3 linked regions of the Saccharomyces cerevisiae S288C genome follow. The protein of the gene in region 2 interacts with the protein of the main gene of each other region in a pairwise test. Each region holds a gene or a part of one and is shown on either strand. Other genes may lie near its edges.

Evidence for each region. The genes of interacting proteins can lie anywhere in the genome.
Region 1: the proteins of CNM67 (region 2) and ADY3 interact in a two-hybrid assay, tested with the Saccharomyces cerevisiae proteins (2 studies listed by BioGRID).
Region 3: the proteins of CNM67 (region 2) and NUD1 interact in a two-hybrid assay, tested with the Saccharomyces cerevisiae proteins (2 studies listed by BioGRID).

What each region holds. Positions count from the first base shown.
Region 1 is NC_001136.10:25,839-30,287, reverse strand, and holds ADY3 (Ady3p), read left to right. Parts: upstream 1-1,512; coding exon 1,513-3,885; downstream 3,886-4,449. Other genes in the region: GUD1 (guanine deaminase), read left to right, coding at 1-1,303; GTPase-activating protein LRG1, read right to left, coding at 4,412-4,449. UniProt on the Saccharomyces cerevisiae protein: Involved in the pathway that organizes the prospore membrane (PSM) during sporulation. Mediates the assembly of the DON1 ring structure at the leading edge of PSM during meiosis II.
Region 2 is NC_001146.8:222,175-226,464, reverse strand, and holds CNM67 (Cnm67p), read left to right. Parts: upstream 1-1,995; coding exon 1,996-3,741; downstream 3,742-4,290. Other genes in the region: SQS1 (Sqs1p), read left to right, coding at 1-1,669; JJJ1 (Jjj1p), read left to right, coding at 4,034-4,290. UniProt on the Saccharomyces cerevisiae protein: Involved in the pathway that organizes the shaping and sizing of the prospore membrane (PSM) during sporulation. Required for the proper formation of the spindle pole body (SPB) outer plaque.
Region 3 is NC_001147.6:1,035,186-1,039,953, reverse strand, and holds NUD1 (Nud1p), read right to left. Parts: upstream 3,121-4,768; coding exon 565-3,120; downstream 1-564. Other genes in the region: aldehyde dehydrogenase (NADP(+)) ALD4, read right to left, coding at 1-114; NDD1 (Ndd1p), read left to right, coding at 3,483-4,768. UniProt on the Saccharomyces cerevisiae protein: Involved in astral microtubule organization by binding SCP72 to the outer plaque in a cell-cycle dependent manner. Required for the mitotic exit by facilitating the binding of TEMP1 to CDC15.

The sequences.
Region 1 (4,449 bases), on a different chromosome or scaffold from region 2:
ACTCGATCCTGTCAAAGATTGTTTAGATCACGATAGTAGCTTATCACCAGAGGATGTCACGGTGGTTGACATAATTGGAAAAGACAAGACTCGAAATAACAGCTTTTATTTTCCAGGTTTTGTTGACACGCATAACCATGTCTCGCAATATCCAAATGTCGGCGTATTTGGGAATTCTACCCTGCTGGATTGGCTAGAGAAGTATACCTTCCCCATAGAAGCCGCACTAGCAAACGAAAATATTGCGAGAGAAGTTTACAATAAGGTAATAAGTAAGACGCTTTCTCACGGTACAACGACTGTGGCTTACTATAATACCATTGATCTCAAGTCCACTAAGCTCTTGGCTCAACTAAGCTCCTTATTGGGGCAGCGTGTTCTTGTTGGAAAAGTGTGCATGGATACCAATGGTCCCGAGTATTATATTGAAGATACTAAAACTTCCTTTGAAAGCACTGTGAAAGTTGTTAAGTACATACGGGAAACCATTTGTGATCCCCTCGTAAATCCTATAGTGACACCAAGGTTCGCGCCCTCTTGTTCTAGAGAACTAATGCAACAGTTGTCCAAGCTAGTCAAGGATGAAAACATACACGTTCAAACCCACTTGTCGGAAAATAAGGAGGAGATACAGTGGGTTCAAGATTTATTTCCCGAATGTGAGAGCTATACTGATGTATACGACAAATATGGGCTGCTCACAGAAAAAACAGTATTGGCACATTGTATTCATCTAACAGATGCCGAAGCGCGTGTGATTAAACAGCGTCGCTGTGGTATATCTCATTGTCCCATTTCCAACTCCTCTCTGACTTCTGGAGAGTGTAGGGTTCGATGGTTGCTGGACCAGGGCATAAAGGTTGGTCTAGGCACCGACGTTTCAGCCGGTCATTCTTGTAGCATACTCACCACCGGAAGGCAGGCCTTTGCAGTTTCAAGGCATTTGGCAATGAGAGAAACTGATCATGCAAAACTTTCAGTCTCCGAGTGCCTATTTCTTGCTACAATGGGCGGAGCACAAGTCTTGCGTATGGATGAGACCTTGGGGACTTTTGACGTCGGTAAGCAGTTTGACGCTCAAATGATCGATACCAATGCTCCCGGCTCAAACGTGGATATGTTTCATTGGCAGCTAAAGGAGAAGGATCAAATGCAAGAGCAAGAGCAAGAGCAAGGGCAAGACCCTTATAAGAACCCACCGCTGCTTACTAATGAAGACATAATCGCAAAATGGTTCTTTAACGGTGATGATCGCAACACCACTAAAGTTTGGGTAGCCGGCCAGCAAGTCTACCAGATTTAGTTGTATATGTTTAGAGGGCTACTATATCTTGTTCCAAGTATTAATGAGTAATTTGAGTATATGTACAAATTTCTTTTGCGTATCGCGCTTTAGCCGCCCATTGTACAATATTAAGATTAGGAACACAAAGAGATTTGCCAGTGAAAGAATTGCAAAACTCGGTTTGGGATTTTGAATGGGATAGTTGAATACAACAAACTTCTCCGAATATGAATCATTGGTTAGCATTTTTGAATAAGCCTGAATCCCTAAAGGAACAAAACTCGGATTGCGACCAGCAGGGGGAGATGAGACATGTTACTGATGGCACTTTAACTAAGTCTCCAGAAAGTAAACCTTTTCGAGAGCGGCGTTCACAAACTTGGATAGACTCTGAAGTACCTACGTCCACTGAAAAATCTAATGTGCAGGAAAGTATTTCTTCTGATATTATATCAAAACTGTCGAATAGGCGTTCCCGAAGAAACCGCTCAGAGAGTTGGGCAGGTTCAGAAGCCTCTTCACCTTCTGGTAACATTAGTACATTGGAAAATGCTACGGAAAAAAATACTTTAAAATCGCCTAATAAATTTCTACAAAGGGGTGGTTTACCAACTGTAGGAATAGGCTCGCAGGCTCTGTCACCTGCAGGAAAGCCCAGTACATTAGGAAATGTAAGCCCTGGTAAATTTACCACATACAAAGTACACAATAGTATTGAAGTGAATAGATTTTCTTCTACACCTACAAAGCTCCTCACGAATCCCCACAAAGTCGCAGCAATCTCAAATGATGAGCATTATGTTGTAAGCAATGAGAGTCTGGAGGAGAATATAGAGGTTGCGCATCTAGAGAACGTATTTCGCTCATCTAAAACTCCAGATGAAGAACAGTCCGAATATATGAAATTAGGAGAAATTAGGCTATCTTCTTCATCATATGGAGGAAGTATTTCTAAAGAAAATAGTTTACCCAAGGTATTAGATGAGCTCCAGTCCCAAAATGAAGAGATCAAAGCACTAAGACAAAAACTAGAAGAGAAGGATGACAGGATTCAAGAACTAGAAGAACTTAATAGCATGAATGATGCTAAACTTCAAAGAATAGAAGACTTGCAGAAGGAATTCCACAACGAAAGAAAAGCTGCATCAAAAAGGCTCAACATTGTTCAGGACCGGTTTCGCAAAGAAATTAAAAAAATTAGAGAAGAAAAAATTACAGACTTTCAAAACAAAAACGCTAGCAAGAAGGAGAAGAATGAAGTGACTAGTGCCAAAACTAAATGTAAAGCTTTTTCTCAAAGAAATATTTTAGTTTCGGAACTATACAGGAAGCAAAAACAAATCCTAAACTTGCAGCAAGAAAATGATAAATTTCTAAAAGATATTAACGAATCGAATAACTCTATAGTAAAATTAAGATCTGAAGTTGAAATACTGAAAAGCAATTTGCAACTTTCTCAAGATGAAAATAAAAAATTACATGATAATGGTTCGTTTTACGAGAAAAGGTTAAATGATGTTTACAGCTATATGCAAAATCTTTCTCTTTTTGAGAAAGACCTTGGTAAATTCATACTAGAAGAAATGAAATGTGGCCATTCCCCTTCGATGTTTCAAAACGGTTTTGCCAAGCTTTATCCGGATTTTCAAGATATCAAAAATCTTGAAAATATGGAGCAATACAAACAATTAAAAGGAAAGATAGAACTTTTGGAAAAGAATGACCGTATACGTCTTGAAAAAATCATTTCTGTCTTTAAATTGATTAATGAAAGATTACATTTTATGCAACAGCAGCACAGTCACAAAATAAAATATCTTCAAAAAGAGGCGTTAACAAAAGAACAACAATTTCGTTTGGAAAAAAGGAGATGGCATGATATCCTGAACCTCAAGGAAGAAAACTTTCAAAAACTGAAGAGCGAGTTAAAAGAAAAATTAATACTAAGTGAAAAAATTCAGAAAAATGCCGAAGATAAATTGAACGATTACATGAATGAACACCAGGAAATTGTTGAGAAACTTCAGAATCAGGCTTTGATTGCTTCAAGATGGAGCACTCAAATTCAAGAGTCAGAAAACACACATAAGAAAATTACTGACGAGTTAGCTGGAAAACAAAGTGAAATATTAAAACTCGAAGAAACAATTCTATCACTAAAAGAAGATGTATTCCAAGAGAAGCTGAATTTAAAAAAACTATATGGTGATCCTTCTACCGAACTTAATTTTGAAACTGTTGGAAAATCTTTTCCACATATAACGAAGGAAAAGTACGACTCCTTGGGTCTTGATATTCTGACAGACCTTACCTATGTGCAATCGCAAAATCTAATCAAAAATTTATTAATTGTGTTGGATATCCCATTAAAAACCTTCTTAAAAATTGTACCAACAATTGTCATTCAACTTAGATGTGAGCTTACACTTCTCACAAAATTTGCTAATGATTTGAACCTTAAGGTTTTTGGTAAACAGTTAGATTTCAAAAGTAGAAGAAAGGTCGCAATGAATGAGTTTTTGAACAATCATGATATTGCTGAAGTAAAGCATCCTCTTGAGTATGATTTGCAAGCGTTGTTTAAATATTTCTTTTCTTAGCTTTTTTTTTTTTATTTAGAACTAATATATTCAATGGTGTCATTAATTATTATTTAGAGAATAAGTTACTGGTGGGGGGTGCACCTAAAATAAAGTCACATAATATAGAGCATGGCAGATATTTTACCGCTGGTATTGCTTTTCCGAAATTTTGGTGGAATATTCTTCTGAAAGATTTCAATTTGCTAACAGACTTCTTAAGCACTTACAAGAACAATGTAACTTCTGATCTGCTGTTGGAGATGTTCTGAGATATAAACAAAATTTACATCAAAAGGCGAGTAATACAATGATACAAATGATTATAAGTACATACTAATGTTACAATTTCTAATTCCATTTTAGTCAGAATATACTATGTTGTATAATAATAAAATAATGTCCATTTCCATAGCATACTGGTAAGATTTTATTGAAATAGGCAAAGAAAAAAGCAAAGAACTCTAATAAGAACGACAAACCTCGAAATCTGAGGGGAAGGAGAAGAAAAAAAGGAAAATGAGGGGAAACTTACAGTTTCTGCCTATTATTTGTTTATTTCACCTTGTATGACCGTTGTGGTCG
Region 2 (4,290 bases):
AGAGGCTCAGCAATCGCCGGATCTAACCAAAATAAAAAGAGTATGTATCGAGGAAATCGCAAGGCCAAGAGAAGTTGCGATAGAGTTCGATCCTATCTTAACAATTGGAAAGGTTGAACTTAGCGTTTCCGAAGGTAACGAAAGCAAGGAAATTAGTGTTGACGTTCCAAATAAGGGTAATAAGACATATCATCCATTTGCTGGTTACATTTCCAACGTATTACATGGTATGCATACTAGCGACTCGGACAATGATGAACTAGACTACGAAATAGAAACAGAGAATAATAGTGAACCTTTATACGAATCCTCAGCAAGTTCTGAGGTTGATCAAGGGTTTAATTATGTTGGCCAACGTCACAATTCCCGAGCTGACAACAATCTTTTACCAAGCCCTAGTCCGCAGTTGACAGAAGATATAAAATGTCTTTCAATAAATGGTACCAAAACATTCGAAGGCAATAATGATAATCTGCCATCTCCTGCTAGCGAAGAGTTAGAATTTGGATTCAAAGAAGAAGATTTTGTCATAAATACTAATGACATAGTGGTCTCCAATATAAGAATGGGCGGAGTAGACAATTCATATTATCTACGGTGTTACAGATTACTGGGAGATTACGACTTTCATTGGATTGACCAGGACTTACTCACAGACTTCGTTGTAGACGAGTTAGGTCTTCCTGAAGATAGATTACCTGCATATTTGAATTTTATTAAAAATTCTCTTATACCAAAAATTGAACCAGCTGAGCCAACCTACTCAGATATTCCGATTTCTGATTCGAGTGATGAAGGTGACAGCTATGAAGGCGACAGCTATGAAGATGATGAAGATATGGCCTCCTCGGTTGTGCATAGCGACATTGAAGAGGGTCTGGACGACCTAATTGCATACACATTGAAACATGATACAGAAAGATTCAAAACATTTGAAACCAAGTCCTTGGAAACTAAGGGTAAAGGTAAGAAGAAGAAGCTACTCATCGATGACGCCTTAGCGCTGGATACAGAAACGTTGGAGACGTTACAAAGTAAGTTTAGTAAACGCATAGAAACCAAAGCAAAGAAAAGAAAAGCCAAAGAAGATTTCATTGATCAGGAGAATAGAAATTCGAACGATATGCTCAAGAAATACCCATATGGACTCCATATTCAAAATATTAAAGATGAATTTGAGTCCTTTTTGTCTAGGAACAATGATAGACTGACTTTCCCTCCATTAGATCCTCATGGAAACAAGACCGTAATGAAAATTGCGAAGCATTATAATATGAAGAGTTCAAAAATTGGGAAAGCAAATCATACGTCGGTTGTTGTAGAAAAAATAAAGAAAACGAAATGGTCTTCTCCGAATTATAGTCTCATTGACCAATTGATGAGGCAGAGGCCAGTATTCATGAGAATAGATATAAGAAGACCGAGGGAGGAACAAGCTGCTTTCGAAAGAACTAAAACAATCAGAGGGAAATTTCATGTTAAAGAAGGTGAGATTGTTGGTCAAAACGCTCCAGAGATTGGAAACGAAAATATCGGTAGAAGAATGTTGGAAAAGCTTGGGTGGAAAAGTGGAGAGGGCCTTGGTATTCAAGGCAATAAAGGTATAAGTGAACCAATTTTTGCCAAAATTAAAAAGAATAGATCGGGTTTAAGACACAGTGAAAGTTAATATTTTCCAAGCTTTTAATCCTCATTTTCTTAACAATTGCGTATATACATATTTTTTTATTTTCTAGACTAGACCATGAAAAATCTATGGTAATATACACATACGGAGTTTTAGGTACAACTTCTCGTTACATATCCAATTCAATTATCGTAACTGTAAATAACATCTTCTTGTGAAAATTCGCGTTGCGCGACGTGAGGCGTTAGGCAATTTTTTGTGGAACGTTTATAGTAATAAAACAACTAATAACGTTAACGTTCCTCGGGAAGAAATCTACACATACAAAAAATAATCACTAGTAAATAGTGACAGGTCTTTTGTACATCATGACTGATTTCGATTTAATGAATTTTCCATTTCATGAGCGTTTGGATTCTCCTGTATCAGAGAATGGGGAAATTAAAGACGGAGAGCCAATCCCACAAAACTGGCTAAATGAAAATCATGTCGGAAAATCCATCTTACCTTTATTCGTTAACCCTGAAGATGTCATCAATTGCAACTTTTCCAATGCTAGAGACTCATATGAAGAGAACAAATCACCATCTATGGATCAAATGAATTATGCTAGAAATACTAGTTATCAGGAATCTCCAGGATTACAAGAACGACCAAAAAACGAAAAAGATAAGTCTCCCATAGGTACTGATGTTCATAAAAAGGATGTACCCAATTTCATACACTCTACTCCTAGAGAAAACTCTTCGAAGCATTTTACGAGGGCAAATGAACAGGCTTCTGCTCAACCAACTGATGAACATACATCGCCAGATATCTCGATAGAAGACTGTAACGGTGCCAAAATTTTTCTACAAAACTCCTTATCGAAAGAGGATTTTCGAATGTTAGAAAATGTGATACTGGGGTATCAAAAAAAAGTTATTGAATTGGGTAGAGATAATCTAAGACAAGAGGAAAGAGCAAACTCTTTACAAAAGGAGCTCGAAGCAGCTACGAAGTCAAACGACAAAACCTTAGATAACAAAAAAAAAATTGAAGAACAGACAGTATTGATTGAAAACCTAACAAAGGACCTTTCGCTGAATAAAGAAATGTTGGAAAAAGCCAATGATACTATTCAGACAAAACACACTGCATTACTAAGTCTCACTGACTCCTTAAGAAAGGCCGAGCTGTTTGAAATACCGATTGGTATATTGTTTTTCGATTTGTATGACTCGGAGGAAAATTCTTCAAAATTAGATCACATATTACAAGAAAAATATCCTAATATTAAAGGGTTTTTATGTGCATCACAGCAAGAAGAGCTGAGCCGCATTTCTCAGCGATTTAAAAATGCAAAAGCAGAAGCTGAGGATCTCCGAAATGAGTTAGAGAATAAAAAAATTGAAATCCAGACCATGAGAGAAAAAAATAATACTTTAATTGGTACAAATAAAACCCTTTCCAAACAGAACAAAATACTATGTGATAAATTTGACAAGTTGACAATCGATGAGAAGGAAATTTTGAAAGGATGTAATGAGGAAATAAAAATTAAGCTGGAAAGGTTGAATGAAAGACTAGGATCATGGGAAAAAAGCAAAGAAAAATACGAAACATCATTGAAGGATAAAGAAAAAATGCTAGCAGATGCTGAAAAGAAAACAAACACTCTATCAAAGGAACTGGATAATTTGAGGTCGCGATTTGGAAACTTAGAGGGAAATACTTCTGAAAGGATTACAATAAAAAATATCTTACAGTCAAGGCCCGATATTTCGGCAGAAGAATGTAATTTCCTTATGGTTGAACAAATTGATTCAGCAAATTTGACGACTTTACAAAATACTGTCAAAGAAATTGTTTTGGCTGTTGGTATTCCTTATCCAAAGTTAAGGCGAAAGATTCCGTTGCTGGCTATCAAATTGAAATATGAAAACATCATGCTGTCCAATTTTGCTCAACGTCTGCATAGACAAGTATATAGTCAAGAAATGAATCTAAAGAAATTTACGGATCAAGCATACTATGATTTTATGTCAACGCGCAGGATGGATTCCATAGATCACCATTTGGAGAGGTGTCTGGACCATCTGTATGATCATATCCTGGAGAAGATGGTGAAGTAATTTTTATTAACGGAGTCAATAGATAAATTGTTGTAATTGTAACTAAAAATTAAGGTATAAGATTAAATTATATTCTAGGAAGTATGTATAAAATATTCATTTGTTGTAAAATTGGAGGGCTTAAGCGGCCAACATTTTATGTTTACACTTTTTCTTGTTTTAAGAATAGAAAAAAAATATACGTGAAAAAAATTTGAAGTCATCGCAAAGTAGCTCTTTTTACATAGTAAAAGTCTGACCAGCCAAGAGTTAATATCAGTATAGTGATATCCTACTACTTCAAAAATAACGGATGAAGACCTGCTACTATGAGCTTTTAGGGGTCGAAACGCATGCTTCTGATCTTGAGTTAAAAAAAGCTTACCGTAAAAAGGCCCTACAATATCACCCAGATAAAAACCCAGATAATGTTGAAGAAGCCACACAAAAATTTGCTGTGATTCGAGCCGCTTATGAAGTACTGTCTGACCCCCAGGAAAGAGCATGGTATGACTCACATAAGGAACAAATTTTAAATGATACTCCACCAAGCACTGATGATTACTATGA
Region 3 (4,768 bases), on a different chromosome or scaffold from region 2:
CCCATTGGGCAGCTTGATAGGCACTGTCATAGGAAGGTGTGAGAAATATCTCAATTGAAGTCTCCCAATGGAGGATGCAGACGTCTTTAAGCAGAGCGTAGATCTACTGAACATGCTTTATTTATTTTTGTTATTGTAGTTTTCTTGGTTGGTTTTCCAGATACTTCTAATCCTAACACCCAAGAATTTTTGAGGAAAGGAGAGTGAAGTCAATTGTCACCGACAAACCCCCCCCATTTATATAACCGCCGAACTTCCATTTTCATTACAAATTTCTCCTCATTCTGCTTACCTACACCCGCCCCTCATTTTCCATCTCTGTTGGAGTTGGAGAAAAAGATACCTGTGGACGGAAGTCCCGCATCGCTGGATAACAGCCGTACCGTCGCCCGGGCGGGGAATCATACCAGCAAACAAAAATGAGGGGGAAATGACATCATGTGCGGACGGTACTAAAGGATCAAAAGAATGAATGAATGAATTGTTACACAAAACGGTGAAATTGTTACATACATTTACTAATTACATACATTTTTAGTACTGCGTACGGGTATAGTTATGGGGTTACAGATTCGTGGCAGTTGGGGCAGGAGTGTCATCTAACCAGAGGGTCGCCAGGGCGGGACATTGCTGCTGGCAGAGGCCAGCAAGCTGGAGCAACTGCCGGTAATGCAAGCTCGTGCTGGCGCGATCGTGGCGTGGTGTCGTGATTGGGTTATTTCGTAGATCAAGAAATTTTACTGATTGGCGTGGGAGAGTTTTTGTTAACTTGTGTGCGTTTTGTAGGTTGTTGCCTGGCAGATGTAGCTCTTGCAAGAACGGTAGTTCCTTGGAGAGGTCCACTGGTAAGTGTGTGAAGTCTCTAACATTAGCTATAGTTAGAGAATATAAGTTGGTGGATTTTAGAGAAGAGAATCGCGGCAAAGAGGAGGCCAGGCCGCCGTTGATCTCCAGAATTTGCAAAGTGGCAGGCCATTTTTGCCATTTGCTAAGTTGAGCGAAGCCGTCCAGTTTTAGAATCTTTAGATTTTGGTAGGGGAACGTGAATTGATCATCCAACTTGTAATTTTGTAATTTGGATAGCGCGCCTCCTGTATTTTTGATGGAAAGCGCTCTCAACGTTCCGTTCTCCATCTTAGAAGATTCCACGATGGAAACTAGCGGGTTACCATTGAGGTTTAAAACCTTCAGGCGGGGCAAGCAATTGATGTTTCTTACGCCAATTATGTTATTGTTGCTTAGATCTAAGACTTCCACGGTCAACCAGCCGCCCACGACAGAGTTGTTTGTTAGTATCAATTGTTCGAAATCGATGATACCATTAATCTCGTTGTTAGAAAGGTTCAGTTTTTTCATCCTGGAGGATCCTATCCCTTCTAAGGATTGGATGGAGTTGTAAGAAAGGTTCACCTCTTGCAGGTGATGACAAAGTGACAAAAATTTTAAACTTGTATTCAAGAGGTTGTACGATAAGTCGAGGCATTCCAGATCGTGGAATCCGGCTAATGAACAATGTGCGCTCGTTATTTTGTTGTTTGAACAAAATAGCTGTACAACGTTCGAGGGTATACCTTCTAGAGTGTTCATTTCATTGTCACTAAGGTTTAGCACTAATACATTCGGTAGTAGTCTTTGCATGCCAAACATATTCTTCAGTTTGCCCCTTGATAGGTCAACTTTCAGGATTTTTTCCCAATCGGAATCATAGCTTGGAGAACCAGATAGTTTACTAGTCAAGATTGATATTAGCTGCTTTTCAGTTTCGTTGAACGAGGTGTTTACTTCGGAAATGGACGTAATATCTTCAACCCGTTCAGCGGGGAAGGTCTTTAGTTTCTTGTGAGCTTCTAGTAGATTGGAATTAGAGATTGAACGAGAGGTACGCATTTGTCCTTTAACCTTCGCTCTAGTGCCATTTTTCGTAAAAAGGTCATTAAATTTTGGTGTGTCTAGGGGCGTGTCATCGCTATTTGCTAGATTTTCTTCTTCTTGTATTTTCTTTTGGCGGTAGCCAACATCACCTGGTTTGGTACTGGTTAATTCATACGCCTTCTTATCTAGAATTGAAGGTGCCTTACCGTTAGTGTGATTATCTCCAGTTGGTACCATTGTGGCGAACTGGGACTGGTTGGAAGATGTATTGTCCAGAGAATGTGAACTCGACACATCTAAGCCCTGGTTCAGCGGCGGATCCCATGCGCCGTGTGTATGGTTAAACTGATATCCCAATTGACCGGGTGAAATAGTGTTCAATGGAGGTTTCTTGAGAACTTTTGATTTTCTGCCTGATTGAGTTTGAGAGGACGACATGGATGACGATGATGAAAATTCAAAAGAATTGGAAGTGTCCTCTTCGTCCTCCTCCTTCGTTCTAGCGTTATCCTTATTATTAATATTAATACTATTATTATTATTATTATTATTATTATTATTATTGTTTTTGTTGTTGCTATTACTTGGATAAGAACCCACCAAATAATTCGATTTTTGCTTTTGTAATATGCCATCAAATACATCATGTGCCTCAGCTGCTGGGCCAGAATCGCTGTCATCAGAAAACGACGATGAGACCTTCTCAGCGTTAAAGAAATCTTTAGAATGTGAAATACTAATCGTATCATGGTTTTCATGGGTCTGCATAGTAGTAGTTTTATTCTTCATATCTAAATGTCTTTTAAATGTATTTGTTTCAAGAACTCCAGATAAATCCTTAACCAAGTCGCTCACAATGAGATCCGATTCAGGAACTTTGTTTGCAGTACCAACAGCGCCACCAAAGTTGGTACCACCGCCGCTACCAATACCAGGGAAATACTGCTTCCATTGAGCTTCTTGATGAGATGTAGCAGTCGTGCCTGAAAAACCTGACGGCACTTTCTGATGCACCGTGCTATAGTTGTTCAAAACTGTCATTGTAGGAGGTTTTTTGACAGAATCGGATATTGCAGGTTCCACAACTTGGGAAGTAAAATTTGAATCTTGAAAATCGTGGTTACTTTCATATTCCTTAAACACTTTACCACTGTTACTGTGCGCGTTCGAGCGTAGCTTTCGTGGTGAATTTATTGTAAGATTCTCCAGCTGGCTCGATAGTTCTGCCTCCTGCGTATCCATATCCATTTCGGTATGCTTTTACTATTCAACCTAGTCGGCAATTTTTTCACCTGAATATTGTTGAACACTTCTGGCATCCTAGATACTCATCTGTATTTATTCATTATCTGTTGTGCATCGTTAATAGCATTCCAGTAAACAAGTTTAGGTCACTACCCGCATAAGCCTTTTGGCGTTTGGCGTAACCCTCCTCGCGAAAAGAAACGGGACGCAAAAAAAAAAAACAACAAAACAAGAACAAAACAAAACAAATAGGACAGAGCCTTAAGGAGCTGCAAGGATCTTCTGAATATTTGGCATCGGCATTGTGGGTGGAAAAAGTGTCCAAATTGGAATAAATTGGTCAGAATAGAGCATTGATTCCAACTATGGACAGAGATATAAGCTACCAGCAAAATTATACCTCAACTGGGGCAACTGCAACTTCCTCAAGACAGCCCTCTACGGACAATAATGCAGATACAAATTTTTTGAAGGTAATGTCAGAATTCAAATATAATTTTAACAGTCCGTTACCTACAACGACTCAATTCCCCACGCCCTATTCTTCTAATCAGTATCAACAGACTCAAGATCATTTTGCCAATACAGACGCTCACAACAGTTCGAGCAACGAATCGTCGTTGGTAGAGAACAGTATATTACCGCATCATCAGCAGATACAACAGCAACAACAACAACAACAACAACAACAACAACAACAGCAAGCTCTAGGTTCACTTGTACCTCCTGCTGTCACAAGGACAGATACAAGTGAGACTTTGGACGATATCAACGTTCAACCTTCTTCTGTTTTGCAGTTCGGCAACTCTTTACCCAGCGAATTTTTGGTTGCATCCCCAGAGCAATTCAAAGAATTTTTGTTGGACTCTCCGTCCACCAATTTCAATTTCTTTCACAAAACTCCGGCAAAGACACCACTTCGATTTGTAACAGATTCTAACGGTGCTCAGCAAAGCACCACAGAGAACCCAGGTCAACAACAGAATGTTTTTAGCAATGTCGATTTGAACAATCTTTTGAAGAGTAATGGAAAAACACCCTCATCTTCATGCACCGGCGCATTTTCACGCACTCCTCTGAGTAAGATTGACATGAATCTCATGTTCAATCAACCGCTGCCGACATCTCCATCAAAAAGGTTCTCCTCCCTGTCGTTGACACCATATGGAAGAAAAATTCTGAATGACGTCGGTACACCTTATGCAAAAGCATTGATATCGTCTAACAGCGCGTTAGTGGATTTTCAGAAGGCAAGAAAGGATATTACCACTAATGCAACATCCATAGGGCTGGAAAATGCCAACAACATCTTACAGAGAACGCCGCTAAGATCTAACAATAAAAAATTATTTATTAAAACCCCCCAGGATACCATCAATAGCACTAGCACACTAACTAAGGACAACGAAAATAAACAGGACATATACGGCTCTTCACCGACTACCATCCAATTAAATTCATCAATAACTAAATCTATCTCCAAATTGGATAACTCTAGAATTCCCTTGTTAGCTTCGAGATCAGATAACATTCTGGATTCCAATGTGGATGACCAATTGTTTGATTTGGGGTTGACAAGATTACCTTTATCACCAACACCAAATTGTAATTCTTTGCATAGTACAACCACAGGTACATCTGCCTTACAAAT